4 linked regions of the Pelodiscus sinensis genome follow. The protein of the gene in region 3 interacts with the protein of the main gene of each other region in a pairwise test. Links are inferred from orthologs where the notes say so. Each region holds a gene or a part of one and is shown on either strand. Other genes may lie near its edges. The genes, in order: RALYL, FTH1, FXR2 and TBC1D22B.

Evidence for each region.
Region 1: the proteins of FXR2 (region 3) and RALYL interact in a two-hybrid assay, tested with the Homo sapiens proteins (2 studies listed by BioGRID and IntAct). The link is inferred for Pelodiscus sinensis from reciprocal best matches to the Homo sapiens genes FXR2 and RALYL.
Region 2: the proteins of FXR2 (region 3) and FTH1 interact in binary tests that used the Homo sapiens proteins (3 or more experiments, as listed by UniProt). The link is inferred for Pelodiscus sinensis from reciprocal best matches to the Homo sapiens genes FXR2 and FTH1.
Region 4: the proteins of FXR2 (region 3) and TBC1D22B interact in binary tests that used the Homo sapiens proteins (3 or more experiments, as listed by UniProt). The link is inferred for Pelodiscus sinensis from reciprocal best matches to the Homo sapiens genes FXR2 and TBC1D22B.

What each region holds. Positions count from the first base shown.
Region 1 is NC_134712.1:47,014,456-47,021,533, reverse strand, and holds the start of RALYL (RNA-binding Raly-like protein), read left to right. Parts: upstream 1-4,068; 5' UTR 4,069-4,205; intron 4,206-4,381; exon of another isoform or gene 4,382-4,684; intron 4,685-5,547; exon of another isoform or gene 5,548-5,634; intron 5,635-7,078.
Region 2 is NC_134714.1:124,702,395-124,709,538, reverse strand, and holds the start of FTH1 (ferritin heavy chain), read right to left. Parts: upstream 3,005-7,144; 5' UTR 2,984-3,004; coding exon 2,958-2,983; intron 2,396-2,957; coding exon 2,317-2,395; intron 1,957-2,316; exon of another isoform or gene 1,803-1,956; coding exon of another isoform or gene 1,782-1,802; coding exon 1,692-1,781; intron 1-1,691. UniProt on the Homo sapiens protein: Stores iron in a soluble, non-toxic, readily available form. Important for iron homeostasis. Has ferroxidase activity. Iron is taken up in the ferrous form and deposited as ferric hydroxides after oxidation. Also plays a role in delivery of iron to cells.
Region 3 is NC_134734.1:9,203,920-9,211,871, forward strand, and holds the start of FXR2 (RNA-binding protein FXR2), read left to right. Parts: upstream 1-4,938; 5' UTR 4,939-5,199; intron 5,200-7,952. Other genes in the region: SLC12A9 (solute carrier family 12 member 9), read right to left, coding at 24-158, 775-1,000. UniProt on the Homo sapiens protein: mRNA-binding protein that acts as a regulator of mRNAs translation and/or stability, and which is required for adult hippocampal neurogenesis. Specifically binds to AU-rich elements (AREs) in the 3'-UTR of target mRNAs.
Region 4 is NC_134737.1:16,850,301-16,857,353, reverse strand, and holds the start of TBC1D22B (TBC1 domain family member 22B), read left to right. Parts: upstream 1-4,052; 5' UTR 4,053-4,271; coding exon 4,272-4,327; intron 4,328-7,053. UniProt on the Homo sapiens protein: May act as a GTPase-activating protein for Rab family protein(s).

The sequences.
Region 1 (7,078 bases), on a different chromosome or scaffold from region 3:
GCTACGACAAATCAGGAAAGAGATCTTGGAGTTATCGTGGACAGTTCTCTGAAAACTTCCACACAGAGTGCAGCGGTTGTCAAAAAGGCAAATAGGAATTATTAGGAAAGGGATAGAAAATAAGACCCAGAATATCTTACTGCCCCTGTATAAAACTATGGTACGCCCACATCTTGAATACTGTGTACAGATGTGGTCTCCTCACCTCAAAAAAGATATTTTGGCCTTGGAAAGGGTTAAGAAAAGGGCAACTAAAATGATTAGGGGTTTGGAACGGGTCCCATATGAGGAGAGGTTAAAGCGACTGGAACTTTTCAGTTTAGAAAAGAGGAGACTGAGGGGGGATATGATAGAGGTCTATAAAATCATGAGTGGTATGGAGAGGGCTGATAAAGAAACGTTATTTATTAGTTCCCATAATAGAAGAACTAGAGGACACCAAATGAAATTAATGGGTAGCAGGTTTAAAACTAATAAAAGAAAGTTCTTCTTCACACAGCGTGTAGTCAACCTGTGGAACTCCTTGCCAGAGGAGGCTGTGATGGCTAGGACTATAATAGAGTTTAAAGAGAAGCTGGATAAATTCATGGAAGTTAGGTCCATAAAAGGCTATTAGCCAGGGGATAAAATGGTGTCCTTGGCCTCTGTTTGTCAGAGGCTGGAGAGGGATGGCAGGAGACAAATCGCTTGATCATTGTCTTCGGTCCACCCTCTCTGGGGCACCTGGTGCTGGCCACTGTCGGTAGACAGGATACTGGGCTAGATGGACCTTTGGTCTGACCCAGTACGGCCGTTCTTATGTAGGAGTTCTTGAAGAGACTCACAGGCAGATAGACAGACATACACACATTTCTAAAATCTATTGTAAGATATATATTTTCCGACTAAAATGCCATTTATGTTACACATAACATTTATATGTTATATGAGGTTTATATGTTACATTTAACCAGTTAACCAGGATCCTGCAGGCGGGGGGCCCAGCTGGTCTGGGTGGCCCCTTGCCATGCCACCGGCTGCTTGGGCGAGGCCTGCCATACCATGCCATGGTTGGAGAGCTGCTCCAGCCTGGCCAGGCCTATCTTGTCATGCTGGGCTGACCACTCCTCAGCCATGGTATGGCATGGTGGGCTCAGCTGGATTAAAATGACCGCTGCCCATGACAAGGCTGCATCCGCCCCCCAGGCTGCATCAGGTGGGGGTCTGCTCCAACCCGGGTGGGCTGTCTGTTAACTGGTTAGCCCTTTACATCCCTACTTCTTACCTCTGTGATTTCCACTCCATAAATCAGACAAAGTGGTTTTGACCCACGAAATATTATGCCCAAATAAATCTTTAAGATGCCACAGGACTCCACATTTTTACAGATAAAAACTAGCATGACTTCTCCTCTGAGGCCTATCCAAAGAGTGAAATTTTGGAAGAGCCTTCTAAGGGAAACTGTGGGGAAAACAAAACAAAACAAAACAAAACAAAAAAACAAAAAAAATTGTTCCAAGACAGAACTTGACAAGTTTATGGAGGGGATGGTTGATGATGATGTTAATCATTGTACTACCCACAAGGACACATGACCCATTCATGACTGCTATTAGTAAATATCTCTAAAAGACAGAAAGAAGACAATAGACAAGGAGGGCTGCATCTGGCTGGTGGGTCTTGCCCAAATGTGGAGGATTTACTCAGGCCTGGGCAAAATACAGCCTGTGGCATGGATCTGGCCCACCAATCCACCAGATCTGACCCGCTGAGGGAGCAGGGAGCCCCAGGCAGGCTCCTCTGCTTGCCCTGCAGCCCCGTGTGCCATTTACAAATGAGGCTTCAGGGCTCCATTTCTGTTTTGAAACAGGAAGGGAAGGGGGAAGTTTCAGGAGCTGCCATTGGCTGGTTTCTGGCTAGAAACCAGCCAATGGGAGCTGTTTGTTAGTATAACAGGCAGCCAAGAAGAACTATGCTCTCTCTTCTCGGCTCAGTTATTCAATGAAGCACATGGCCAGGGAAGCAGGCTGGCTGGCTGGGAAATGTTTTAAGCTCGGCAGGCAGGCTAGTTTGGCAGCTGACAGGCAAGTCTCTTGGCCACACCCTGTTTCTAGCACCCCAGCACTTTCCTGCCCCAACCCTCTGACTCCCACTCAACATACCCAAACCCTCTGTCCCCCTCTTACACCCAAACCCTCTCCAGATCTGGCACCCCAATCTTCTTTCCCAGATCACATTACCCTCCTACTCTAGGTCACATCCCCAAGCCCTGCACTTCAGTTGCTTGCCCTAGGTTACAACTGCCTCCTTCACTCAAACTCCCTCCCAGACTCTAATCTCCTCCTGCATCCCAATCAATTACCCCAAGCTCCCTTCTGTACCCTACCTCCATCCCAGATTCCACATCTCCTCCATTAACATCATGGAAGAGTGCGGCCCTTGACCACTTTCCAAAATCTTGGAGTGGCCCCCTGTCAAAAATTATTGCCCACCCCTAAGCTAATTGATTTGGGGTTGAGAAGGATTGTTTTCCCTAAGTCAGATTGACAGAAACCTGAGGGGAGGGAAGTTCTCCTTCCTCTGCAGCATGGAACACAGATCACTTGCTGGTTTGAACTAAAATAAATGGTGGGTAACTTAAGAGTCTTTAAATCTAGGGTCTTGTGTTCACTGGCATGTTTTGTCATTCAAAACTGCCTTTTAGCAACAAAACATTAAGCGTGTTTACACTGCAGTGCTACGTTTGTTGGGGAAAACATCTAGCTTTGGCAACAAAAAACTTCCAGTCCTGCCAGAGATTTTTGTCTTTTCCTCTCCTTTTATTTTCGACAAAGAGCTAGTGTGGACTCTGTTGTTTGCTTTTTTTCCCCAGAGAACTGACTTCCCTCTGTCACACTGCCTGCTTCCATGGCTGTGGTTTGTGAGCTCTGCTACCCTGCAGGCATGCACCCCTCATCTTTCAAAGCCCTGAGAAATATCCGACAGTTGAATGAGCTGCTTTGTTTGGGGAAAAAACAAAGAGCAAATCATTGTAATGCTTCTGTTCTGTCCCGCTAGAAACACAGCAGCAGGCAGATTGCTACTGCAGGGGGCAGACTGGAGAGACTGCTGTGCTGCTTTGACATTCCTCTGCATGGAGAATTCACAGAGCTGCTCTCAGCATCTGAGAATGTTGTGGGAGAACTAAGGAGCACAGGTATCAGCTCTGCCTTCCCACACACTGCATTGTGGGATGCGGGTCCATGGAGGTACTAGCAATATGGCCATGGAATGTCAACAATGGGAAGCAGAAAAACCAGTTGGACCATTTTTCACTTTTGGCACTTTTGCATGTTGACCACACTTTTGTTGCCAATCTTTCCCAGAGTAGATATAGCCTAGATTTGAAGACTTCCCCCACAGTGTATTCCTGGTTTGAATGCACATAGCTTTGTGACTAGATGATCATGATGGCCCCTTCTGAAGTAAACAAAAAACCTACACAACTCTCACACAGTCTTAAGTATGAGTGACAGCCTGGGATAGTTCTTGCTTACTTTATAGTCTGGAACACCATGCTTTAGTCACTCTTGAATAAAACCTCAGGAGAGCGAGGGGCACAGGAAGGGATCCTTGATTATAGGGAATGCCCTTTAGCTAACACAGGATCCCGTTAAACATGAGCAAGGATGCGGAACAACAGGCTCACCTACCATCCAGCTGAAAGAGTTAACCTGCCGAGGAACTAGCCGTCTGCGTGATGATGCATTGCTGCTTCCCTGCCTAGCACAGGCTGCCTGCAAAGCGCTCTCCCAGAACAGCTCTTCTGGAGTCACTTGTTTGACTTGCCTCTGCCAATAACTTTGTTATTAAAAACAAGAGCCCCCCTCAGCACCAAGGCAAACACTGAGCAGAGGCCAGGAAAGCAAAAACAAAGTAGAGAAATAATGAACGCGTCTCTCGGCACTTTCTAATTTCTGTCCAGCTGCAAACGTGAACATGTGAGCACGCTCTGGACAAGCATCGCTTGGGGCTTGCACTTGGCCGGAGCCGAGCCATCCCCAGCAGAAAGTACAGCTACCGACCGCTCAGCCTCTCTGCCTCCGTGCAGTGGCGAGCGGCGCTGGAGACGCGCTGACTTGCACTGACACTTGCCACTCAGTCCGGCCCTCGGCAACCTAGAAAGAAGGGGAGATTTATGGAGCAGGTAATTTGGGAGCACCGGAAGCTGCAGCGATAACTTTGAGGTGAGGAGGCAGCAAGTTGTAGCTCCGACATACACACACAGGCAGCTGCTCCCGCTCGCACGGTCTCCGCTTTCAACTCCCCTCCGCCTCGCTCGCCCGCGCCCCTGACTTAGCCGCGCGGGTGTGTGTGTGTGGGTGGGTGTGTGTGCGGCGCGTGGCGCTGGGGCGAGAGGCACCTGCTTGGCTCGCGCTGCTGCCGCCGCGCAAGCAGCCGAGGCGCCAGCTCCTGCCGCTAGCTGCGGGCTCCAGCCTCCCGCTCGCTTCTGCCGCCGCCACCGCCGTGGGAGTGAATTGGGCTGCTCCAGCGGGGCGAACCCCTTCCCCCTGCCTGCGAGTCAGCCTGGCTGCGAATCACGTGTCCGCTGCCTGAGGCAGAGACTAGAGAGGAGGGGGGGGGGGGAAGCGCCTCATTCCTTCTTCCACCGCCATACTGTATTTTATAGTAACTCATTTTTATTCCTCTCTTTTACTCCCGCTCGGTGAGTACCTTTCCGCTGACATTCTTGTCCTCTTTTTTTGTCCTGTTTTTTTCTTCCTTTTTTATTTTTCTTCTTTTTTTCTTCCTCTTTGATTATTGTTTCCAGGGATTTGATCCTTTTTCTGATGCCAAGTTTTTTGTTTTTGTTTTTGTTTTTCTTCTTCTTCTTAGCATGCGATGGTTACTAGACTGTGAGCAAAAGGTGCTGCTGGGGCTGGGAGTCACTGGGAATTGAGCAATGCAATAACATTTAAGACTTACCAGTCCAGCAAAAATATAGCTATATATACAATTATTAGCGCTAGCTCTAGATATGCAACTGGTTTTGTTATGGCCCGAGAAAAAGAAAGCAATGTGAAATATTGTGCGTTTTTTTAAAGATGAGGAGAAAAGGCATGTTTCTAACTCTTTTGCAGAGAATTTTTCCAAATGTTGTTTTGATGTTTTTTCATTTTTATTTTTATTTTTTTTGTATATAGATGTGAATTGCAAATGCATTTTACAGCAGTGTTTACAAAGAGTTTGTGATCTTGCAATACTGGTGCAGGCCACTGAGCAAGATGTTAATTTTATTATTTTTGGTTGTTTCCTTTTTTTGACACTCGGTGCAATCAGCAGTTTTTGTTCTTTTTTGCTTTGATGCCCGTTTATAACGTGAAACTTTTCTTGCAGCTTGTTAGAGTTGATCATTTTTTAATACTTTTTCCTCCTTAAAAAAGCCAAACAAACAAAAAAGCCAAAGCAATGATCGTTACTTTTGCACATTTGACTTTTTTATTCTTTTACCGAGATAATTTTATTATGATGATTATGATGATAGATATGCACATATATACAAATAAATACATTTTAAAATGATGGCAGTGGAAGGTTTTCCTGGAGAATGAAGTGCGGGTTGGTTTCCTTGTCAACGGAAGATGAAGTGAACAACTGAACATCTCCCCAGTGCAGGTACTTCATCTCCTTGTAGGCGTTTCCACTCTTTTGTAAATTACGTTACGAGAATAATAATAATTATTAATAATAATTATGTAAAATTCTCGATCCCTCGCTAAATATGTGTTCTCAATTAAATGAAGACGAAACTAAATTTCTGCCTCTTGATTACTCGAATGTGTCCAAAATGCTGCACTAATTGAGCCCAGGTCGGTTAGTCTGTGTGTGATAGTTTATGTACTATCCTAGACATGCGGGTACCCAGCTGACAAACCTGAATTGAACCGGGAGATGCAAGTTATGAGCAGGGAGCGTCTAGGGCTTAAAAATAACTGGACTGGATTGTGAGGAAGAAAAGAGAGAGAAATAGAGAGAGAAAGAGACTCGAGTTTTAAAAAATGCCTATTATAAAATCATAGGTGGCTGTGAGAGATACAGCAGCAGCAGTCCGTCAGAGAAACTGGCTCACTGCCATATGAGTCTGACACATATTCCAAATCCATAACGATAACAATCCTCTTATTTCTAATTTATGCTCCCCTTATTAACAAGGACTAATCAAGGCAGAAAGCAGGTCATTTCTGCCAGGTTTACCTCATTGGGGTAGTGATTAATTATAAGCAGATACATATTTTGAGGTGTTTCCTTTTGTTTTGGTGATTATTAATGCTACTGTCTGACAGGGCATAGGAATCAGCTACTTTTTCTCTGACTGTCGCTGAAAGTTCAAGATTAGGGAAGAAACTGTTACTTTGCTTTAATAGGACTTAGCTGCTTAACAAGCTCCTAAACTGTTCTGGATTTAGAGAAGTTGATATACTAAATATGATATTGAAAGCGTTTTCCATCTCAGTTTTTTCCAGAAAGAGAGAGCTGAGTATTTTATCAAAATTGAGGTGCTGAATGCTTGAATCTGCAGTCTTATGCGTGATACACTTTATTGTGATGATGCTGTTGAGTGTATTCTCTATGAATAGATTTCAGGGAAACTTGGTCAGAAAAATTTCCTCAGCATTTAAGCATTGAAAACAAAGCATCTTTTACGTAATACTTTTTTGTAGATGTAAAAAGAAATATTCTGTCTATTTTTCATTTATAAGACTAAAATGCTTTGGAAGTTAGAAACTTTGTATACATATTTACTTTCCTGGAACTTGCAAATACTTTGCTCTTTAAACTGATTCTCCCCCCCCTCGTCCCTGCAATTTAGTTATATTGTGTAGAAAAGTGTCTATTCTACATGCCTGCTGGGCTTTTACAACAACACAGAATTAATTTGCTATTGAGTTAATAATCCATATTTCAAAAAATCACTATATTTACATGATAGATTATAATACTGTTTTTGGAGTAGTTACAATCTACTAAGAGTCAATAACTCACATTTTAAGAAGTCCCAGACTTCTGCCTTGATTTAGGCTTGTAAGGATTAGATTTGTATCAGTAACTATTGATAAAT
Region 2 (7,144 bases), on a different chromosome or scaffold from region 3:
GAGCACCATACTTTGCTGCCATCAGAAACAAGCCATACAGAACCGATCAGTATCTTGTGCTCCATTAATAGTTTAAAGCTCCCAAAAACTTTCTGAACGTAGTTGGGGCTGAAGCACATTTGTTCTTTGCTAAACCCCTTTTTAACAAGAGGTGTTTGTAGCAAGTTATGGTCTCACTTTTGGAGAAATCAAGTGATGAACTGCCATTTTGATCATTTTTGGGGGCTAAAATGAATCCTGTTTTGAGCACTGGACTGCACCAGATACGGGATGCAAGTGTGTCGCAGTATAAAAGGAGGCAGTTGCCTCCCTGCACTTCTGCCTCCGAACCAGCTTAAAAGCCAGATCTTAGCATGCATGGGCTCCTCCCTCCCTCTCCCAGGGAGTTGGCTGCTGCCCTGTGTCTGCAGGGATGGGTGGCAGTTAGTACTAAGGATGTTAAGTAGCATGTAATTCACTGTTTGATTAGTTGATAGGGCAGCAATGCCACTGCAGCCTTTCAAGAGGGCAACACCATATGGAGCCCCCAGGGTCAGCAGTGCTGCAACACCCCTTCTTCCTGACAGGGGAGGGGGGGGGGAAGGGGAGGACCACTACTTAACTATCTGATAAGCATTTGCTTATCCATAGTCAACTAGTCCTTAACATCCCTATCTGTACTAGCCAGGGAGCTAGCTGCTGCCCCTTATGTAACCATGAAACCACTGAAATGCTTGGCATTTACACAATTACACACATTTTAACCTCTTTACACCAGCTAGTACTTTCTTCTCTGAAAGTTTTTTAAAGCATGTTCTGTTGACCTCAAAAAAGATACTGAGGTACAGTTAAGAAATTAATACATGGGGGGAGAGGGGGACCATTTGAAAGTCTACAAGATTCTGATCAACTTCAGAGTTGAAGAGGGATCCTTCAAGAGAGTCTCGACGTACTGGTCTAGCAATGTTAATTTTACAAGCTACTGGAGAGATTAAAAGCAAAGGTGCGCATTTGGGAGCTAGGGTCTGGTGTGTACAGAGGAAAGTACAAAAGCCTGCTCTTTTTTTATTTCAAATGCCAAGCAAGTCTGAAGCGTGATCCCTGGATTAGCCAGCTGTTAAAGGCTGCCAGAGCAATTCATACAGCGCCACAGCCGTGCTCCAAACCCCCCCACCCACCATCAAGCCAGTTTGAAGCGGCCCCTTTCCCTCAAGGAGCAGCTCGGAGGAGTTACCCGCACGCTCGGGGGCTGCGCTCCCACCGTCTGGCGGGCTTAGCCCTGCAGCGCGCCAGCAGGGAGAAGCCCCGCCACAGGCGACAGGCACAAGAGCAGCTCGGCAGAGGCGCCCCCCCCCGCAGCAGAGGGAGGGCGGGAGCCGATAAGAAGCCCTCAGGAGGCCCAGGTGCGAGAGCTGCGCCGCGCAGATAAACACGGGGGGCCGAGCCCGGCGCGGCGCCACCAGGAGGCCCCTCCCCCGAGCCGCAGCGCGCGGCCTGGGCCGAGCCCCCCAGCGGGTACCCCTCCCCCACCGCGGCAACAAAGGAGGCGCGCGCGGGCCCGGCAACGACAACGCCGCCCCCCCCCCCCCCCCCGGAGAGGCTCGTCCCCCTCCCTCCCGAGGGATCACAGGCCCAGCCCACCCCGCCCTGTCGCGCGGCACGTAGGCCCCCGCGCGACCCCTCCGCGCGGGCCGCGGGCGGTTGGCACGTACCATGCTGAGGTACGCGTAGGAGGCGTAGAGCTCCAGGTTGATCTGGCGGTTGACGGCCGCCTCGCAGTCCTGGTGGTAGTTCTGGCGCACCTGGGAGGGAGAAGAAGACATGGCGGCGGCGCTGCTGTTGCTGCTGTTACTACTATAGGAGACGAGAGGAGGCGGAGAGGAGGGGTCCGAGCGGCAGCGGTTCCGTCCAAACACTGTTGAAGCAGGAACCTCCGGGCTCGGGTCTGTCTGGGGGTGACGCGATCTGAACGGGCGAACGCCTCCGGCTCGCCTTATATATGCACGTCGCCGCGCGTCAGGAGGCCCCGCCCAAGGTGCGCGCGCAGAGAACAGGAGGGAGGGAGCGAGCGGGGCGGGGGACAGGAGAGCGGCTGAAGGGATTTGCCCCGCGCTCAGCGGCTGGAAGCTATTGGCTCAGCGTGACTCAGCAGATTCCGCTGCTGGCTGTGCCCACGACAGCTCATGATCCCAGCTACCTGCTTTGTTAGTCTATAAAGTGCTACCAGACCGTTCCTTGTTTTTTCTTGGTGCATTGGTGTGTTTCTCCCAACCCTCTCCCCCGCCCAGCAAGGACAGTGGGCCCCATCCCTTCAGTAGCCTTTGCACCCCAGCTAACCAGTGCTGCCACTTCCTCATCTGTCTGCTCGACATCCTGGTCCTTGGCACACCTCTGCATCTCCAGGCCCTTCGTGTACCTGCAGAACACAGACATACACACACAACATCAGCCTTAGTGCAGAACCAGCTCTGGCCTTCCCCTCCCAGCCCAAACTCTTTGGCTACGTCTAGACTGGCATGATTTTCCGCAAATGCTTTTAACGGAAAAGTTTTCCGTTAAAAGCGTTTGCGGAAAAGAGCGTCTAGATTGGCACGGACGCTTTTCCGCAAAAGCACTTTTTGCGGAAAAGCGTCCGTTGCCAATCTAGATGCGCTTTTGCACAAAAAAGCCCCGATCGCCATTTTCACGATTGGGGCTTTTTTGCGCAAAACAAATCTGAGCAGTCTACACTGGCCCTTTTGCGCAAAAGCTTTGCGCAAAAGGGACTTTTGCCCGAACGGGAGCAGCATAGTATTTCCGCAAGAAGCACTGATTTTAGACAATAAGTCAGTGTTCTTGTGGAAATTCAAGCGGCCAGTGTAGACACCTGGCAAGTTTTTCTTGCCAGTCTAGACACAGCCCTTTAGTTTAAGGGGACTATCTGTTGGGATTCCTTCTTCTCTGGAAGAGTGGCGCTGCTGGCGCACATACTCACGTACTTTCTCTCAATGACAGACCGTCCCATGGAGAATGTCGCTTTCTTGGGAAGATGACATGGGCCACCTATGTATATATTGGACCATCCACACCCACACCGCTGTATAATAATAATTAATAATACTTTGCATTTCTATAACTCCTCCTCTACAAGGATCACTATCAACAAAAAAACAACCAAGGTGAGAACAGCTCTTTATCTGTGTAGATTCTTATGTTAGTACCCTTCCTATCTAATTGCCATCCTATGAGCCTTATCTGCTTTTTTTAATTATCCAATTTTTAGGTGCTTATAGATTACCAGTTTTGCCTGTTTGGTTTTCCCTTTGATATTTATATACCCTCTGCTTCTTGTTTCCTACACCCTTCCATTTTTTTTCCTTACCCCTTCTCCTCTATTTATTTTGGATCTGGACATCCTAACCTCAAAACTCTGGTCATCTGAAGAAGTGGGCTGTGCCCACAAAAGCTCATGATACCATCTACATGTTTTGTTAGTCTATCAAGTGCTACCAGACTATTTGTTGTTTTTTAAGTTTATACTTTACAGCCATGCGTTGATACCATTGCTTTTACCTCTGGTTTAAAATATAAAGAAGAAAACCTTTTCATACTTTAATCTGAGATTTAATGTATCATTTCCCAGCCATTACTTTTGTTTCCTGGTGTGAGACAAATGCATGTTAATCTGATTACATCTTTTTCAGGACTGAATCTGCTCAGTTATAAACCCCAAGGAGCCAGAATGGCCAGAGTCATTTACTATAGTCCATATAATGGTCTTGAAGCCAAATTACTCCCTATCTACATTTGTACAACCAGAGTGAAATTAGCAGAGTCATCTAGTAGTAAACACAGCACAGAATCTGGCCCTGAGTATGTTGAAACGTAGATGCATATTCTTCTAGAATAACAATAATAGGCTGTTTAACTACGATATACACTTATATCGTATTTTGGGGAGAAGTAATTTCTTGATCCCATACATAACCATTGTTTTTCTGTCAATTTGTTTTGACGATGGCTTTAGTTGTACAGGAAATGAATGTAAATGATTCATTGACAATGACAGTTGCTCATTTAGATTTGATATCCGGACAGTGATTTTAGAGACGTAACACAATGACAATGCACTTTAAAGGGCAGATTTCAAACTATGAGTCTGAACTATATCAGTACAGAAGACTATTTACAAATGACTGATTGGAGGATTACTGGGGTTTTAAAAAAACTTCTGACAATCTTCGAAAAAAGGCTCTTACGGAAAATAATAATGATAAAGTTTGAATCAAAATCCTAGTGGGTCTTACAAAGGAATCAAACAATAGGGAATTAATTGAGATGTAAACAATTTCTACTCCTCAAAGTGAAGGTAATTCTTTTGTTGGGGCCCTGAAGCCATCCAAATTAGGATGCATGATTTTATGTTAATAATTTACAGGAGAAAGAGGTCACATTGGTAAAGCTCACCAATGATGTAATAATGGTATGACACCCAAGAGTTCAGTTTAAAAAACTAAATTTTATTTCAAGTCACTGGACCTGGGTCAGAGTGAGAAAAGTTAATGGCTTTGTCATATGAGTTTTCCTTATTTAAATTAAATGCACAGAAAAACATAATGTTGTTTAAAATAAGAACCACAAACTAAACCAGCCAGTTATTAAAATAGTAATTGAAAAGTCATGAATGAAGGTCAGGGCAGACAATCCGAGCTCTCTGAAGGCATGTCTACACTCACCGCACCGGAGATCAATGTTCTGGCATTCAATTCAGAGGCTCTAGTATAGAACCATAAATCTAACGCTAAAGGCAGCTCCAGCCAGCGCCTGTACTCCTCACAGTCGCGACGAATATGGGAAGCCAACTGGAGCGTTTGCTTCCATCAGCCTCCTGCTGTGTGGACGCTGCCAAGCTCAGCTTAAGATAAGCCAACTCCAGCTAAATATTCTACGTAGCTGGAGTTGCGTACCTTAAGCCAAGCTGCCAGGTCTAGCGTAAACCTAGCCTGACAACTGAGAGGACTATTTTGTGTCTTATTTAGTATTGCCAAACTCACATGTTCAAATCAAGAGGTTTTTTTTAAATAACCAATAAATCTTGGGCTTTCTTTGTTTATTTTCTGGTTTCTGAGCCTTGAGGATGCCCTGTGGTCATACACACACAGCCTAGAAACTTCCATTTCCTTAAAATGAAAGCTAAGATTCTCAAATAATTTCATGATTCCAGGAGACCCATGATAAAATCACCATGACTGAAACTCAGCAGTTTTTCTGATCAAATGTTCACTTCTTGTTCTCAAAACAGTTCCTGTTGTAATGACCTTCTTCAGTCATTAAGATGGATCCACAATATAGAGCTTATAATGACTACTTCTTTTCATTGGGTGTGCGTGTGTGTTACATTTTCAGAACAGAAATACAGTCAAAGGCATTCTGGATGTGCTAAGGAAAGAGCAAATATCCTTCTTGGTTTTGTTTAGATGTCTTCTGTCTTCTTGTAGGTCTGATCATCAGATTATGTGGTTATCATATATGACCTTAGTGTGGATCAATTACTATAGCAGGTTGCTAGCCTCTTGTTGCTTGAAAACTTACGTTTTCCTTCACTTATAAAATAACTCACTCTGTGACATTCTTGTCTCAGTATTTTACCTGCTTTTACTTGCCTGACATATTGCTTTCATTGTGACTAGTTCAGGTTTTTTATTATATTTGGCTCAAGAAGCTTGCCAGATGTTCACACTAACGTTTTTCTTCTTTTGCTCATGAGTCTCTAAACTGGTGACCCTAAAACAATAATTGTGCAACGCATTGCCACATTCTAGAAATATGAATATTGAACCTACAAAGTGCTAGTTCTCCTGAATCAAGTTCTTTCCTTTTTGTGTTGACTTGCCTTTTAATCCTTTTGACTGTGCATGACTTAATATAACAAAGAATTGCCAAAATGAATTACCTGTGAATTGGGGGCCAGTGCTATTTACTTTTCTACAATCTTTTAGTGAACAAACTGTGATTTACAATGTGGTATAACATTGCTACCTGAAATGTTGTGCAACAGCTCAGTTAAAAAACATAGGCGCAATAAAAAATAATCTTTTCCATTTAACTCAAGATAGTTCTGTACCAGCCTTAGCCTAAAGGTGATCAAGGTTGTCATGTGGTTTCATTGGTTCTTTTATATTCTGGTTTTTTTTAATTGATTGTAGGTTTCACAGTTGTAAACCTTAGCTTTAATGACACCTTTTACGCCTACTGATAGGATTGGGCACATCTTGGACTCTTCCTCCTACACTTCTTTATACCCAGATGGACACAGTGAAGTAAGTGTAGCATTTCCAACCTCATGCTGTGGGCTTTTTATAATAGTATGTCCTTCATACATCCAAAATTCAAATATAACAATTTTATAATTACAGGCAGTCCCCGGGCTACGTACAAGATAGGGACTGTAGGTTTGTTCTTAAGTTGAATCTGTAAGTAAGTCGGAACTGGCATCCAGATTCAGCCGCTGCTGAAACTGACCAGTGGCTGACTACAGGAAGCCTGAGGCAGAGTTACTCTGCCCCGGGCTTCCTGGAATCAGCCGCTGATCAGTTTCAACAGGCTGAATCTGGACGCCAGTTCCGACTTACATACAGATTCAACTTACGAACCCCAGGCATCCCCAAGTCAGCTGCTGCTGAAACTGATCCTGTAGTCAGCGCTGGTCAGTTTCAGCAGCGGCTGACTTGGGGACGCCTGGGGCAGAGCAGCTGGGGTGCTGCTGGGTTGGTCCAGTAGCGCTGCTCCTCGGCGCTACTGGACCAACCCAGCAGCACCACAGCTGCTCTGCCCCAGGCGTCCTGATTCACCCGCTGCTGAAACTGACCAGCAGAGGCTGAATCAGGACGCCTGGGGCGGAGCAGCTGGGGTGCTGCCGGGTTGGTCCAGTAGCGCCCAGAGCGGCGCTGCGGGACCAACCAGCAGTGCCCCAGCTGCTCTACCTCAGGCGTCCGGAGAAAAGCCTGGTCTGCTGGGGGGGGTGCGCACTAGCTGCGCCCCCCCCCCCCCAGCAGACCAGGGAGATGCGGGCAGCGGACTGAGACACACTGAGACCAGCAGACCAGGGAGACGGGGAGCAAAGCCTCAGAGGACGCCAGCAGCGGGACAGCCGAGGCGCTCCCCGTCTCCCTGGTCTGCTGGGGAG
Region 3 (7,952 bases):
CCAGCCCGCTGGCGGAAGGATACAATATGCCCCACCCCCTTGGATGGCACCATTAGTGCAGATGGCACAGACAGACAGGACGGTCAGTAAAATGATGACATAGGCTACCACCAGCATAAGCAGCGACTGCAGGAACCCAGCATGTCCCACCACGAAACCTAAGAGATGACAGATAGGGAGCTGCAGGTAAGAAGGGAGGGGCATTGGCAGAACTGGACGGAGGGCAAGCCCAGAATTCTGCCCTCTATATAGCTTCCAGGATTGGGCCCATCCACATGGCCTTAGGGCCCACATCCCGGTTAAGCACGAACCTCTCCTGTTTAATGGTGCTCACCTTTAGTAAGCCACTAATTACAATAAGGAATTGGCTTTCAGTGCCCATAAGGTACAAGTATGCAGGCACCAGTGATCTAGGGAATTCCATGCCTTATGATGTCGATGGAATGTATGCACAACCAACCCGGATGAATCAGTTGCTAATTGTGACAAGAAGCTGAACAGCCAGCTGGGTTGGAGGCAGCAAGGGGTAAGTATGGGCCAAGCCCCCATTAGCCCACCACATGATTTTGGCCGGAAATCAAGCATGCATCAGTGGGGATGGGGACGGAGGTTTCCTGCTATTCTTAAGGGCAGCACACAATGTGGGCAGGGGATGGAGGGAGAGAATCCTATGGGAGGCAGAGAAGTTTCCTTTGGGGGGGGGGGGGAGTTGAGGAGGGAGAAGAGGGCTTTTGCCAATAACCATGCACTAATCAGCAGGGTAGAGTCACTCACCCACACGCATGAAGACAACGATGCTGAACATGGACAACACTGTGGGCACCACGACGCCAAAGAAAGTGGAGAGCCGTCGGGCCGGGTCAGGCTGTGGGGGGCCCAGGGGGCCTATGCCCCCACCCACGAGGGGTGCCTCCTCTTGGGCCCGGCTGCTTGGCATCTCCCCCTCGTCCACCACGCTGAAGAGCCGGTAGCTCAACAGAGGGGAGCTCTCAGTGGACATGGCAGGGGGGCCTGGTCACCCTGGGAGAGGGGAAGGAGGCATTATTGGCAAAACCCCTCTTCTCCCTAGTTCTCCTCCCCAGCTCCCATGCCCCTCCTCAGGCACCCCTGCAATCCCTCACCCCAAAATCTAGCTAGATCATCTCCCCTTTGGCCTGAAATTCTACAAACACCAGTTACATGGTCTAGTCTGCCATACTGCACAGGGCTGGGAATGCCAGCCTTAAAATTGCAGAGATTAAAAGGAAAAGACTTCAGTCCTGCTGCAATGCACAAGCATGCTCTGAATCCCACTGTAGATCTGCCTTTGAAATAAGGAGAGAAAATTGGGTTTGTACCATACAAACCTCCCCAGGTGCTTTATTTAACAGGTAGAAAAATTTATCTGTGTTTTGATGCACAAAGCAGATGGCTGGGAAACTTCAAAAGACAGCTAAGAAAGTGGGTTTGAACTCTTAAAAAATACCAGGCTAGATTCTTATGATTAAATGGAGACAGGAAATGCACACTCTTGTTTAAAAGCTCTCTCTGAAGCAACTTAAAAACTGGGGTATGAACCTTTAAAGTCAGCCCGGTTTGGGAGCAATCAACGAGGAGAAAAATTAATCCAAGTCAGATGCAGGAAAGAGCAAACCAAATTCAGGAGACACCCAATGGGCGTGGATCCTCCAAATTCAGCCCCCCACCCCCAGAGATGGGGAGGACACCCCTGTTCCTGGTTTCTCTTCTAGGGTAAATGGGTGGGGGTGGGGGCAAACTTCTGGAGGGCGGAAGCTCACCGGCTGTAGGCTGTGCGTCAGGCTGCCCCCGAGGACTCAGGGAGGAGACAAGGAAGAAGGAGCTTATGCTGGGAGAGGATCATTTAAGCCGGCGCGTTCCTAGGAGGGCGGGCCTTAGCCCCCAGGTGGAAGGTAGCTGAATGGAGGAGATTAAATGGATTTCCTGGCCACCAGACCCACCCCCTTCACAGCGCTGGGGAGAGAGGAACCCAGGAGTCCTGGCTCCCAGCCCCCGCTCCAACTCACCAGCCCCCACTCCTCTCCATAGGCCAGAAAGAGAAACAGGAGTCCTGAACCGCCAGCTCCCACTCTTCTCCCAGAGCTGGGAAGAGAACCCAGGCGTCCTGGCTCCCAGCCCGGAGATGCACAAACCTTTAGTTGGGGATGCTCTGGGGTGGGGTCGATGGGGAGGGGGGGGAGGTGGCCGGGTCCCTCCCCTAGCTCCATGCAGTGCTCTCCTGAACCGGCGGCTGGGTCACAGGCTGCTCATGTGACGAGCCCCCCCCCTTCCACTCCCGCCCCCGGGTGTGACTTAATGGGCGTCTGTGAGCTCAGATCCTGCCCCCCCTCCACAGTGTCCTCCTCCAGCTCTTCCTCCTCCCTTCCATCCCTGCATTCGTCCTCATATACATCCATCCTTCTCCTCCTCTCTCCTTCCTTCTTCCCATCTCTGCCTCTCTCTCTCTCACACACACACAGAGCTCTTTCTTCTCCTGTCCTGCTTCCTTCCTCCCATCCCCACATCCAGCCTGTGCCCCCCCATGCACACTCTCTGCTATCACCCCTGTACACACACATTTTCTCTGTACACACACACACACACACGCTTTTCCAGTTTACTGGTACAGAGCATTGGGTACATAACAAACATACGGTACACACCACTGTGTAAACACACACACAGACACTTTCCTGGTACACATGCACAGTGCTGTGTAAATAAACATACACACTTTCTTGGTACACAAACACACACTTGTGTGTTACACACATTACTGTGTACATGCATACATGCTCAGTACCCACACACAGTACTGTGTACATACACGCTTTCTTGCTACACACAGAGTACTATATATACACACACTTGCCCGGTACACATGCACTGTGCTGTGCACACATACACACAATACACACAGACACAGGGGCTGGTTTCTGACCCAGCCTGTGGTCCTGTGGGGAGGGATATTTGTGGCACCCAGGAGGCCATACAGTGACCCTGATAGTGGGACCCTGACCCGACCTCAGCACCTCAGATCAATTTGACTGACTGTGGCTGATGGGTCGAGGCAACGATACCCAGTCACCCCTCCCCAGGCCTGCTGGTGCACCTCAGTCCTGCCCCACTGTACCCCACCAACATTCCTGCTCCTGTGTATGTAGCCATGTCATTTACCATCCTTCTGCCCTGGAAAGCTCAGCCCCATGTGGCAGGTTGTGGTGTTGAGCTGAGCAGTATCTGAACATGGTGCTGGGAAAGATCCAGGCTCCAGACCTCACAATCCCAAATCTCTCCTGAGCCAGCCTAGCCCCAAGCTGCTTAGTGCCAGAGGCTGGGACCCTGTGGGGCCTCCTGTGCTGGCCACTGTTGTAAGGCAGGATGCTGGGCTAGAGAACCTTATTGGAAATCCTGGGAAGCGGGCAAGCCTAAAGGGACCCTTGTGGTCATAGGGCTGGATAGAGAGAGCAGTGGTGAGGGGAACAGATGGATGGATAGAGGGAAGTATATGGGGTTAGATGGGTAGACATGGGGATAGGTAGATTTCTCAGTATTCAAATATCTTCCGAAAATCAAAATTTTCCCACTGAGACCAAATCCTCTTTGCTTGTTTTTGCCTGCCTTTTCTGGCCTGACTGTACTTGTGAGCCTGCAGGGGGCACTCCTGTCATGTTTCCAAGCTATTCTCTCACTCCTAGATCCCCAGGCCAGCAGGGATCAATAGCACCACCTACTGCAGAGCTCTATCCTAGTGTCTCCTCACGATGCCTGGACACCCACCAGGGTGGATCCCCAGTGTGCTCCGTGCTGTACAGTGCAGGCTGGAGACGTTCCCCTCAGTACTTTCTACAGCTGGTCGTTCAGAAAAACAGTCCTTGATTTCAAAATGGTCAGTGAATGAGAATCCGGATAGTGCAGTTATGGTCACTCACCATGAGACCGTTTTCGGTTCCCTGTAATTTTGCCCAAATGTAATTATTTGGGGTGACATTTTTCAGACCTTCAGCTGAATTTTATGAAGCACATTTCACCTAACAAGGATCAGTCAGAATCATAGAGTCCGTCGTCCCACACCCACCAAGTAAGTGCTGCTAAGGCGTCCTCATTGGAACCATAGAGACTGGTCTCTCACACCTCCCACATGCAGCCAGAACGCCCCAATGGAACCATAGAATCCACCCCCTCGCACCTGATGCACTCAGCATATGGAATCATTCAGGCCTTGGATGACCGGGGCGGGGCGCTCAGGGATTGTGGGACATGGGGGTGGTACTGGGAGATTGTGGGATACCAGGGAAGCCCACAGAGCCCTAGAGGACTGCGGGATGAGGGTCTAAGGAGACTGGGAAGTTGGGGGGCTCGGAGGCCCCTGGGGATTATGGAATACGGAGGGGCTAGAGGCCCAGGGAACTGTGGGATATTTTCCCCTTTCCCACCATGTTCCTAGGCCGTAGAATGCCGGGGGCAGGGCCTGGGGCCCCAGCTGCCCCATTTGATTGATCTCGCAGTGCAGCCAATTCGGAGCGCGGAAGCCGCGCGGTTGGGGGCGGGTCCCGGCCCGTGATTGGGTACGGGCCAAACGCTGGGCGTTTCTTGGTTTGGGAGCGGGGCGGGGCCAGGGTTGGTTGCCGGTGTAGGTGGGAAAGAAGCGGGGGCATGCTGATTGGTCAGCGGGAGCAGGGAGGCCCACCGATTGGGTGTCCTGGCAGAGGGGCGGGGCGGGCGCGCGTCCTTGGCGAACCCGACGTCTTCTCGTTGGGAGGTGGGGCTTGAGCACGCGCCTAGCTTAGCCACGCTGGTCGCGATTGGTTGGTAGTAGAGTTGCGTTCTTCCATTGGCCAGCGGACCTGGGCTGGCGCTCGGCGATTGGTGGAGCGGCGCGCGCGCGTGCCCCGCCCCTCCCGGCCGCGCCTGCGCGGTGTACGCGCGCGAAGGGGGAGGGGCCGCGCGCGCGGTGTGAGGCGGTAGCGGCGGCGGCGGGTCGGTCCCTGCCTCACGGTGGCGGAGCCGGAGCGGGAGCGGGAGCGGGCCGCGGCGCCTCCCATCCCCCCCCGGGCCAGACCCTGCGGCGCTGCCTCCTCCCCCCCCCGCGGCGCCGGGCGGCTCCCGGGGCCTGGGCCCCTCCCCGGCGGGGCGGCGGTGGCCGGGCCCATGGAGGGGCTGCCCGTGGAGCTTCGCGGCTCCAACGGCGCCTTCTACAAGGTCAGCGCGCGGGGTTGAGTGGAGGGTTGAGTGTCTGGCGGGAGTACGAGACTGGTGGGCAGGCCTCGGTGTGGGGAGGGGGTTGCACAAGGATGGGGGCCGTTGGGGGAGATGCTACTGGCAAATGAGGGAGAGGAGGTATATGAATGGGTGGGGGAGACTGTAAAGGGTTTTGGGGAGGGTGTCTGGTGAGGGTGTAAGATTGGAGAGGGTGGGGAAGGCCCCGGGTGGGAAGAGGTCATACAGGTGGGGGGGTCTTTGGGGGGAGTGTTTTGTGGGAGGGGGGAGGGTGGCAGGGCGAGGCAGGCCCCAGGGAGAGGAAGGTCAGAAAGGCGTGTGGAGGGCCGTTAGAGGGAGGGGATAGTGGAGAGTGGGGGAAAGAGGGAAGGCAGGTCATAGAGGAGCTGGTGGTTGGAATGGGAGGCGGGGGAGGGTGTCTAGTGAGGGGGGCAGGGGTATTCCTGTGTGGCGGGAGGGGAGATCACAGAGGATTGGGTGGCAGTGGAGTGTGTAGGGAGGATGTATGATGGGGTGAATGGCGAGGAGGTAGTGGGGTGTTTGGGAGTGGATGTGTGATGGGGTGAAGGAAGGTGGGGAGGTAAGACAAGGCATGGGTAAGTGAATGAATTGTTGAGGGCCGGTTAGGGAAGTTAATTTTGGGTATGATGAGGAGATGGTGGGAAAGTAACTGGGGGAACAGTGGCGTGCAAGCCACGTGGTGGGAGAGGCTTAGGGGTTTTTAGATGGAACAGGGAATTGGGAAGGTTTAGAGAAAGGGGTGGACTACTGGGGTCCTGGGGTGGGGCTGGAGGTAAGATGTGGGGTGACTGGAGGATAACTGTTGGGTGAGGGGCATTATGGGAGAAGAGGCTGGGTTTGCGATCACCTGAAAGAGTAACTGACAGCAGGGAGAATGGAAACTACAGCTGTCAATATGGAGACCATAGTGAGAAGCAGGTAAGTGGATGGGGCTTAAGAGTAAGATTTGAGGGGGGAATAAAATTGGAAGGATCTGGGCAAAAGTGGGAAGTCTAGGGGTGTAAGTAACTGAGGGGGTCAGGTGGCTGCGGGCTCTGAAGCAAAGGGCCTTGAGGTGTTAATAGCAGCTTGGAGAGAGAGGGGGAAGGACTATGTGGGTAAACATGTGGATGGTGTGTGTCTGTGTTGTGGGGAGGAGTGGGAGGGAATAGGGAAGGTGTTGGAGCATGACTGAAGGACTTAGGACCCTGCATGGCTCAGTAAGGACCTATGGGATGGGCACACAGAACTCTCCCCTTCCTTAGCATTGAGGTTTTCCTCTCATAGGGATCCCATGCAGTTTTTGTTACTGAGTCACTGGGGATTGGAGGTCCTCCTAATGGTGGAGAGTCACTGAGCTAAATGGGCATCCTTAAGGGCCCTGATTCAGGTGGGCGTCAAAACATGGAGAGAATGCAGCATGGCTGTGGGAACCCCAGTTTAGCCTGTGGTGCACTGTGCCTTCCTCCCCCTTGTCTCTAAGTTCTACATAAACCCGTTTGTCCCCACACACACACTCCAATTTTTTCCTCCTTTTTCTCTGGACCTCTTAGAAGTTTTGCTTCTTCATTGTAGTTTTTGCATCGGACTCTCCTTTTCCATATCCACTTTCCCATGTTGCCTCTCTTCTAGAACTACAAGCACAATTATTTCACAGATCCCTTCATTTTCCCACAGGAACTCCTCCTCAGTGCTCCTTCTCACATTGTCTCTCAAGCCCAGCCCTGCCTCCTAAATCCAGCTATTGCAGGGCTCAGAGCTCCCTTCCTTAACAAAAATCTGGGAGGGTTCAAATCGTGCCACTGGCCAGTCAGGTTACAGTGATCCTAACCTTTATTGTGTCCAAGGAAAAGAAAGGCTGCAGTACTCTCCGAATCAGCCAGATGTTTGTTTCAGCTCTTCTCTGCCAGAACTCCACAGGCAGCTGGATGTGCCTTGTATGGGACTGAAGTCACTTGAATAGCAGAACCCATCCCTCCAATTTCTAATGCCTAATCAAGTTGATGCTGTGACAAGTGCTACATATTAGTATCTGATGCAAGATCCCTTAATGTGATCAGATTGCATCCCACTCTATTCTTTGTGAATGGGCCAAGGATTTGAGTTCTCTTGTTTCATGGGGAGAGGAATAGCGTGATTTGTAGCCCCTTCTACAAATCTGAGGTCATATTCTTCTTAGACTGACTTGAAATCAGTGGAAATTTCTGTATGTTCACTTATGCTATGGTGGGGCCAGTTGTTCAGCATTCATAATGTACACTATGTGTGCACCATCCCTGTCTAAACAGAGCAGGGGAGGCAGAACAACCTCGGAAGTGAAAGGATTTGCTCAACTCACACACCAAGCTGGTCAGGGCTTCTGGGAATAGTCTCTGAGTTCCCTCTGTTGTCCTTTCTGCTAGATCTTGCTTTCTCTCAAGTGTAGTTTTTAGGCCAGAGCAGGATGGGCAGTCAATATTTCCTAGCTTCTTTCTGAGCCCTAGAGCCATTGTGGTGGTTTCATGTGATTGCCTCCATAATCCCTGATGGCTGAAAATACCTGTGAGGGTGCTGCCTTAAGGAAGCAGATTTTGTTCTTGAATGGCTTTCTCTTACTGCCACAGAACAAGGTTGGATAAAAGTTTGGCAAGCTGCGTTATTTTCATCTTTGAAGACTGACCCTATCAAAACTCATAAAGCTTGGTTATTCTCCAAAAATGTCTTTGTGACCTGCTAAACCAAAGGCAAAACTTAGA
Region 4 (7,053 bases), on a different chromosome or scaffold from region 3:
GCACAGGACGGGGAACCGATTCTTATCCCCTCTCTTTCACTCTTGTTCAGAATCGAAAGTTGGCCTTTGTCTTTGGCGCGCTTCCAGCCAGAGTCTCCTGCTAGCACCTGGGGAGAAGAAAAGAGACACCCTGTAAGAAGCATAATGTGCAGTTATAAAAGTGGCCTGGCTTCTTATCAAGGGTAGACTCGTGCTGCCCTCTGGCGTTGGCATCTCCCATTTGGGCATTGAAACGCCACCAGGTTTTCATGGGCTCAGTGCTTGGCTCTTCTGAAAAATCTGACCCCAGTGAGGGCTCCTGACTGCTAGAAAATCTGGTCATAAGAATCCTGGTCTAACACCTCCTCCCCTCCCTTGAATGTCAAAGGGAAACTGGGCATAACCAAGTCACACTCAGGCAGAGCGGGTAAACGATGCAAGCAAATCAACCTGCTAGCTGTTCATCCTGACTTTATGCTCACTTAGTCCTGGGGTAATTGCCTGCACATGATGCAGGGCAATGGCAAATCAGACCCATTCCCTTCTCAAATTGCTGCTCAACTAATAACATTTTGCCAATCTAGAGCACTTTCTGAGGTCCTCGGAGCACTTTGGAGAGTACTGAAGGAACCCTCTGCTCTTCTGAGGGCATGCGTCATGAGCCTCACTTTACACATGGGGAAACTGAGGCACGAAGCAGGGTGGTGATTTGTTGACAGTCAGAAGGGCAGGTTGACACTTGAGTTGTTCACCTTGAATAAATGAATTGCTAATTAACTCAAGGCAGTTACTGTGTGTCTGCACAGACTTGCTGGGATGCTCCCCAAATGCCTGTTCCAGAATTGCTAACGTTTCTTTACCTCAGAGTTTGTCTGTAGCCCGTAACAATAGTTTAGGACAGTGCTACACAGACCTTGATGACCTAAGAGCCAAATTAGCAATCAACAGTACCCAAAAGAGCCACAGGAATATGAATGACAGGGAAATATTTAGCTTATAAAACTTTTTAATTAATTTGCTGTTAGACTATATAATTTATAATTATACTTAGTAATTTAGTGCAATCTGATAACAATTCATTAATAACACAGTAAAACACAGCACCGTGATTGGTTAATCATTAAATCACGTAGTCTTTTAACATCCTGTGCTGCACAGAGCCCCAGGAGATGCATTGAAGAGCCAGTCTCAGGCCTGGTCCACCCTGGGAGTGCTCAGACTGGCTCTCTGCAAAAGCCCTAGCTACCTCAACTGAGTCCAAAGAGCAAACTTGGGGGCAGGCCAGTGCACAGAGAAGCCAGGAGTCCCCGCATCCAGCTCTTTGTGTTAGTGGCCAAACCACCCCCTTTCATTTATTTACAAAACAAGGTAGGAGAAATAAACCTGGTCCAGATTTTCAAAAGTGGCCACCGTGGGAGACTTTCTGAGGATCTGAGCTCCCGTGAGGGGACTGAGTCATTAAACCTCGTTTGACAGGGTCTGTCTCCAAAGGAGCTCAGCTTCCATTTAGACGCCCAAAGGCAGTGGCCATGGTTCTGAAAGGGAGCAGTGAATTGCTGAGCACATCTGTAGCTTTGTCCATCTCCTTAGAATTTTGGCACCAGTTTGGGTGCTGAGATCTTGAAATGTTGATGAATAATGCAGCTAGGCCAGGGGCAGAGTTAAGGGTACCTGTGAAACAGTCACTTTGGCATGCCCTGACATTGGGTGCCTTGCCTTGCAATGTTTATCTGACACAGAAATTGTCATGCAATATTTAAGGCGTGTGGAGGTGTGCGTGCGTGCATGTGTGTGTTCCAAAGGCCTTAGAAAAGAAAGATGGTCTGGTGGCCAGGGCACTAGTCTAGAAATTGGCCTCTTATGAGGTTCCAGTTAGCAGGCCTGGCTGGCAATTGCTGTATCCCTGCTGGAGGCAGCCAGAGCCATGTAAGAACTGCCAGGGTAAAGTCAGCAGCCCAGCAAGCTGGTTAGTATAAGCACCAGAGTTATTGACTTGAGTCCCACGACTTGAACTCGAGTCCGACTTAAGTCGCCGAGGTGACTCGACTTGAGACTTGACTCAGGTTCATTGTTTGTGACTTGAGACTTGCTAATTTTGTTAACTCGACTTGGTGAAAAAATTGTCCGAAAATGCCGACATCAACGGCTTGTACAAAAGTGACTTGACATTTTTTAAATTAAGACTTGAGACTCGACTTGGGACTTGACTCAAAAGTGACTTTAGGGACACGAGACTCGACTAGAGACTTGAACTGTAGTGACGTGAGACTCGACTTGGACTTGACAATGACACCTTGAAGACAACACTGATAAGCGCTGTACGTCTGTACCTACTGACAGGTTTTATGCTGCTGCCCTTTGCTGTGATGTCTGAGAACCTTCTAACTAAAAATGATAGGGTGACCCTATCATCCCTAGTAATCATCCCAGATAAACTATCTGGCACTTTGTCCTTTTCGGAGTTAAAATCTCTGCTTGGCAGAGCGGGCCAGGTTCGGGGGGCAGTGGTTAGATTGTGTTTGTTGATTTGGTTTGATAGTTACTGATCTGGGACATCTGCAATGGGAAGAAAGTCTGTATATTCTGGACCTTGTTGTTATAAACTTGAAAATTAGGTTTTATTTGGTACTGGGTCTGCATGCCACAATTGCAGCTTGCTTAGTTTCCTGTTTGTGCTGTCTTGGTCATTTGGTTGCCAAGACAAAATTGTTATTAAACATGAATTGTTTTTAAACATATAAGAAATAATTACAACAAATGCTCCTGAAATAGACTGATTTTTACATTAGTTGTTTTTTAATTTTTTTCAGTTACAGACTAACAAGGCAACCTCTCTGTGATTTTTATATTTTTATTCTTCAAATAATCCAAGAGCTTCTAGGGAGCTAAGCAACCCCCACTGAAAGTTGCCCCTTCACCACTGAAATCTGAAATGGCATTACTACTTTCTGTGAGTTCCTTGTTAATAAGGATTATAATTACTTATTGTTTGTATCCAGTAGCATGGTTCAATAAGACAATGGAAAAGTTACCAATTTAGAGAAATTGTATAACATTTCAGTAAGGAGAGAGAAATATCTGTAGATCTAATTGTCATGCATACCCATCTCTCTTACCTATGTTTCAATTTGCCCATGGGTGGTATGTACTGTGTTCATCACCAGGCTAACTAAGTGCCTTATAAGTGTTATAATTTTCCTTGTGTGATTCCATCCCACTTGCATGAGCAAAATAAGATTGTTTTAAAAGTGTGAGCAAATCAAGATGGATTTCCACCCTAATTCCAAGAGGCACAGGTTCAGATTGGGACTGGGAGCTCTGTTTTGATGCAGTCCAGGATTAGACCCTAAACTACTCAGGTAGAAGTCTTTGAAACATCTAAAATAGAATGAAGTTGCAGGACTTTGTGATGTGAATAGAAAAAGTGGTTTTTTCACACTCAGCCTGAAGTACCAGAAATGTAACTTACAGCCAAACAAGCTGTCACTGGAGGGAGCAGGGAGGTTTGAGGACTCCCAATGGAAAGTTTGGGGAAATGACATTTAACTGAAAAGGGAGATGAGATGGAAGCTCCAACTCTAGGGGAGCCCAGCCACTGCACAACCCCTCTCCCTCTTTCAGTGCAAAGTGTTTAACCCCACACGACCCCTCCTCCCCAGTGCAGCTGGTTTAACCCTCTCCACCTGTCCTTCCACAGTGAAGTGGTTTAACCCATTCCCAAGCAATGCAGACCCCCTCCACCCCGCCTCCCTGGGGCACATGGTTTAACCCTCTCCTCCCCAATGCAGACGGTGTAACTCCCTCCAAGCGCAAATGGCTTAATCCCCTCTGTCCCTCCTCCCCAGGGCAGAGGAATTGTCCAATTCCCCCCTCCTCTCCCAAGGGGGGTGATTCGTCCCCTTCCAAGCACTGGAGATGGTTTAACCTAGCCACCTCTTCTCAGAGGAGATGGTTCGCTCCACTCCACCCCTGGACATGGTTTATTCCTTGAGTGCACAGATGGTCTCTCCCGCCTCTCGAGGCCCTGCCCCTCTGCCCGGTCCTGGCCTCCCTCGCTTCCCGACCCTGCAGGATCCCGGCTCTGGATTGGCTGAGCTGGAGGCCGCGGAGCAAGGCAGCCAATGGCCGGGCTTCGCCCTCCCGGATCCAAGATGGCGGCGCCGGAGCCTGGCAGCGGGGCCTCCGGAGGGAGGAGGTGAAGCGGCCTCGGCCCGCGGCTCCGGGACCTGTCGCCGCTCCCCCCTTCCGGAGCCGGCCGGGGCCCGGCCCCAGCCCCAGCCCCAGCCCCAGCCATGGCCGCCGAGAGCAGCAAGCAGTTCTGGAAGCGGAGCGCCAAGCTGCCGGGCAGGTGCGTGCGGCCCTCGCCCCCACCCCCCCCGCCAGATCTCCGCCCCCCCCGGCCCGGTCAGACTCCCCCGCCTGACCCCTCCCCCCCCCGGCCCGGTCAGACTCCCCCGCCTGACCCCTCCCCCCCCCCCGGCCCGGTCAGACTCCCCCGCCTGACCCCTCCCCCCCCCCGGCCCGGTCAGACTCCCCCGCCTGACCCCTCCCCCCCCCCCGGCCCGGTCAGACTCCCCCGCCTGACCCCTCCCCCCCCCGGCCCGGTCAGACTCCCCCGCCTGACCCCTCCCCCCCCCCCGGCCCGGTCAGACTCCCCCGCCTGACCCCTCCCCCCCCCCCGGCCCGGTCAGACTCCCCCGCCTGACCCCTCCCCCCCCCGGCCCGGTCAGACTCCCCCGCCTGACCCCTCCCCCCCCCGGCCCGGTCAGACTCCCCCGCCTGACCCCTCCCCCCCCCGGCCCGGTCAGACTCCCCCGCCTGACCCCTCCCCGGCCCGGTCGCCCCCCCCCCCCGGCCCGGTCATACACCCCCCCGACTCACCCTCCCCGGCCCGGTCATCCCCCTCCCTCTGCGGCCCACTCCCCCTCCTCGCCTGCCTGACCCCCCGCTCCTCCCCCGGCCTGCTCTGCTCATCTCCCCTCCCCCCACCTGACCCCTGGCCTCCCCTCTGGCCTGGTCACCCCCCCCCGATTCCCCCCCGCCGGCCCAGTCACTCCCCTCCCCCACCTGACCCCCAGCCCGGTCACATGCCCCCCCGGCCTACCTGGTCACCCCCACCTGCCTCAGTCACAGCCCCTCCTGACCCCCCTCCCCCATCTCCCTTTTATATTCCTCCTGATTGATTCCGGACTAGTCCATTAACTGATCATTTCCAGCTGGGCCTGAGAGGAGCCGACCTGCCTGGGAATGGGATTCACTTCTCCTATCCATTTGTGGGTACTTGTAATATGTATCTCTGCATAGCTGCAACCTTCACCAGGGAGCCAGTGACAAAAGGGGGGCTGTGCTGGAGCCTGTTAACTAACCTTCTGTGCACCTGCATCCCCCAAGTCTCCATTCAGTGGGGGATGACAAGCTGGAGCGGGAACAGTTTGGTTTGGCTTTTTTTTGGGGGGGGGGGGGTGAGGAAGCAGTGAGTCCTTTCCCCTTCCCTCTGCATCCTGAAGTGGGGAGGGGGCAATGTAGAGAGGAGCTTGCTGGGTGTCTAAAGGCCTACTTCAGAGCTAAGAGCACAAGGTGCCCCCCTCGTCCTCAAGGCCAGGCACGGCCCTGGACAGCAGAGCCTCCCAACAGAACAGGTGTCCTTGTATCCCATGTGAGATTGTAATTCCCTGCATTCCTCTTAACCCTGCTTCCCAGGAAGTGTGGGAGTCTGGGGGGGCACCTTCCCCACCTCACTTCCTCTGGCCAGGGAGCAGCAAGGGAGGCTTACTGGGTGGGAGGGACTGCACCAGCCATTGCCTTGAAATAGATTAATGACAGCAGGGGGCAGGAAACTTGCTCTGGGGAGAGGCTCCCCACTTGTGGCTTTGAGAGGAAGGTTCCCAAAGAAAAATTCAAAGCAAATCCCCAGGAGAAAGCGAGGGAATAGGGAGGTTTTACCCACCTCCCTGTGAGGAGTATTACAAGGGTAGGTTAAAGTCTGAGCGCTTCATATGGGCATCACCGTTTCCACGCTGCCATTAATCTCATCTTGACCCTGCAGTCCCCTCCTGGTGTGCACGTGCAGAGCCTTTGAAATGCTTAACTGGCTTTAAATCCTGCTTGGCCAGTTAATCTTCTCTTTCTAATGCACTCTCACTTTCACTCTCCCCCTGCTCAAACTGAGGTTGCTGGGACAGTCCAGACCTGGGAGAGTGGTGTGATGCTGCAGACATCACCCGCAGCTCCACCTTTTTTTCTGACAAACGAATGCCACTCTGCATATGCACGTGTCTTGGAGTATAATCTTACTATCGGGTACATGTCTTATCTGTAGCCCACATCCTGCCCGTGCAGAGGGTGCTCTCTAAGATAGCAAGTTTTTTCCATCTCGAACAACTTTGAGCTCCGCTTTTGAGAGCTTAACCAGGCAAACCCGTTTGGGGAAATAAGTAGGAGCCAGCCAGCCCGGAACTCAAACTAGGGCACTGGATAAACTGTTCTCTCCCCCAAAAGGCCAGCATGCTAATAGTTTGTCAGATCTAGCTGTGTGTGGTGGTACTGGCTCTGTTCCTAAATCCCTGCTATAATCACCCACGCTTGGAAGCTGTCAGCAGAGAGTGGAGGAGGGAAACAGGAGATGCTAGGTTTATGGCCTCGGAGGTTAAGATTACTTAAGAACTGCTTATCCAACCTTTCTGGGATCTTTTCCTGCATATTTGCTGGCTCTTTCCCAAGTCTGTGCTGATCACCCTGGAAGGAGCTGAAGATAATGTCAAAGTTTGGATAAGCACTTGGGCTTTCTCCATTCACCGCATCTCTTTGTGATCAGTTTCAGTTGTTCTCTAGCTTGGTGTTCAGCTTGGTGTGCCACCAAGAGGTTCTCTAGGGCTGTCACGGCTGTTCCCCACTCTGACAGGATAAATGCAGAAGTTGGGGGCCCACAAGAGTACTCCAAAACCTTGCCTCTACAAGCTCTGGTACAAAAACTTCCCTCCAAAATCCTAATACCCAGATTTTGGGGGACCCACTGCCACCATCAAGTGCTTTGAACCCCAAAATAAAAACACAAATGGGTGGATACCTGGGGTA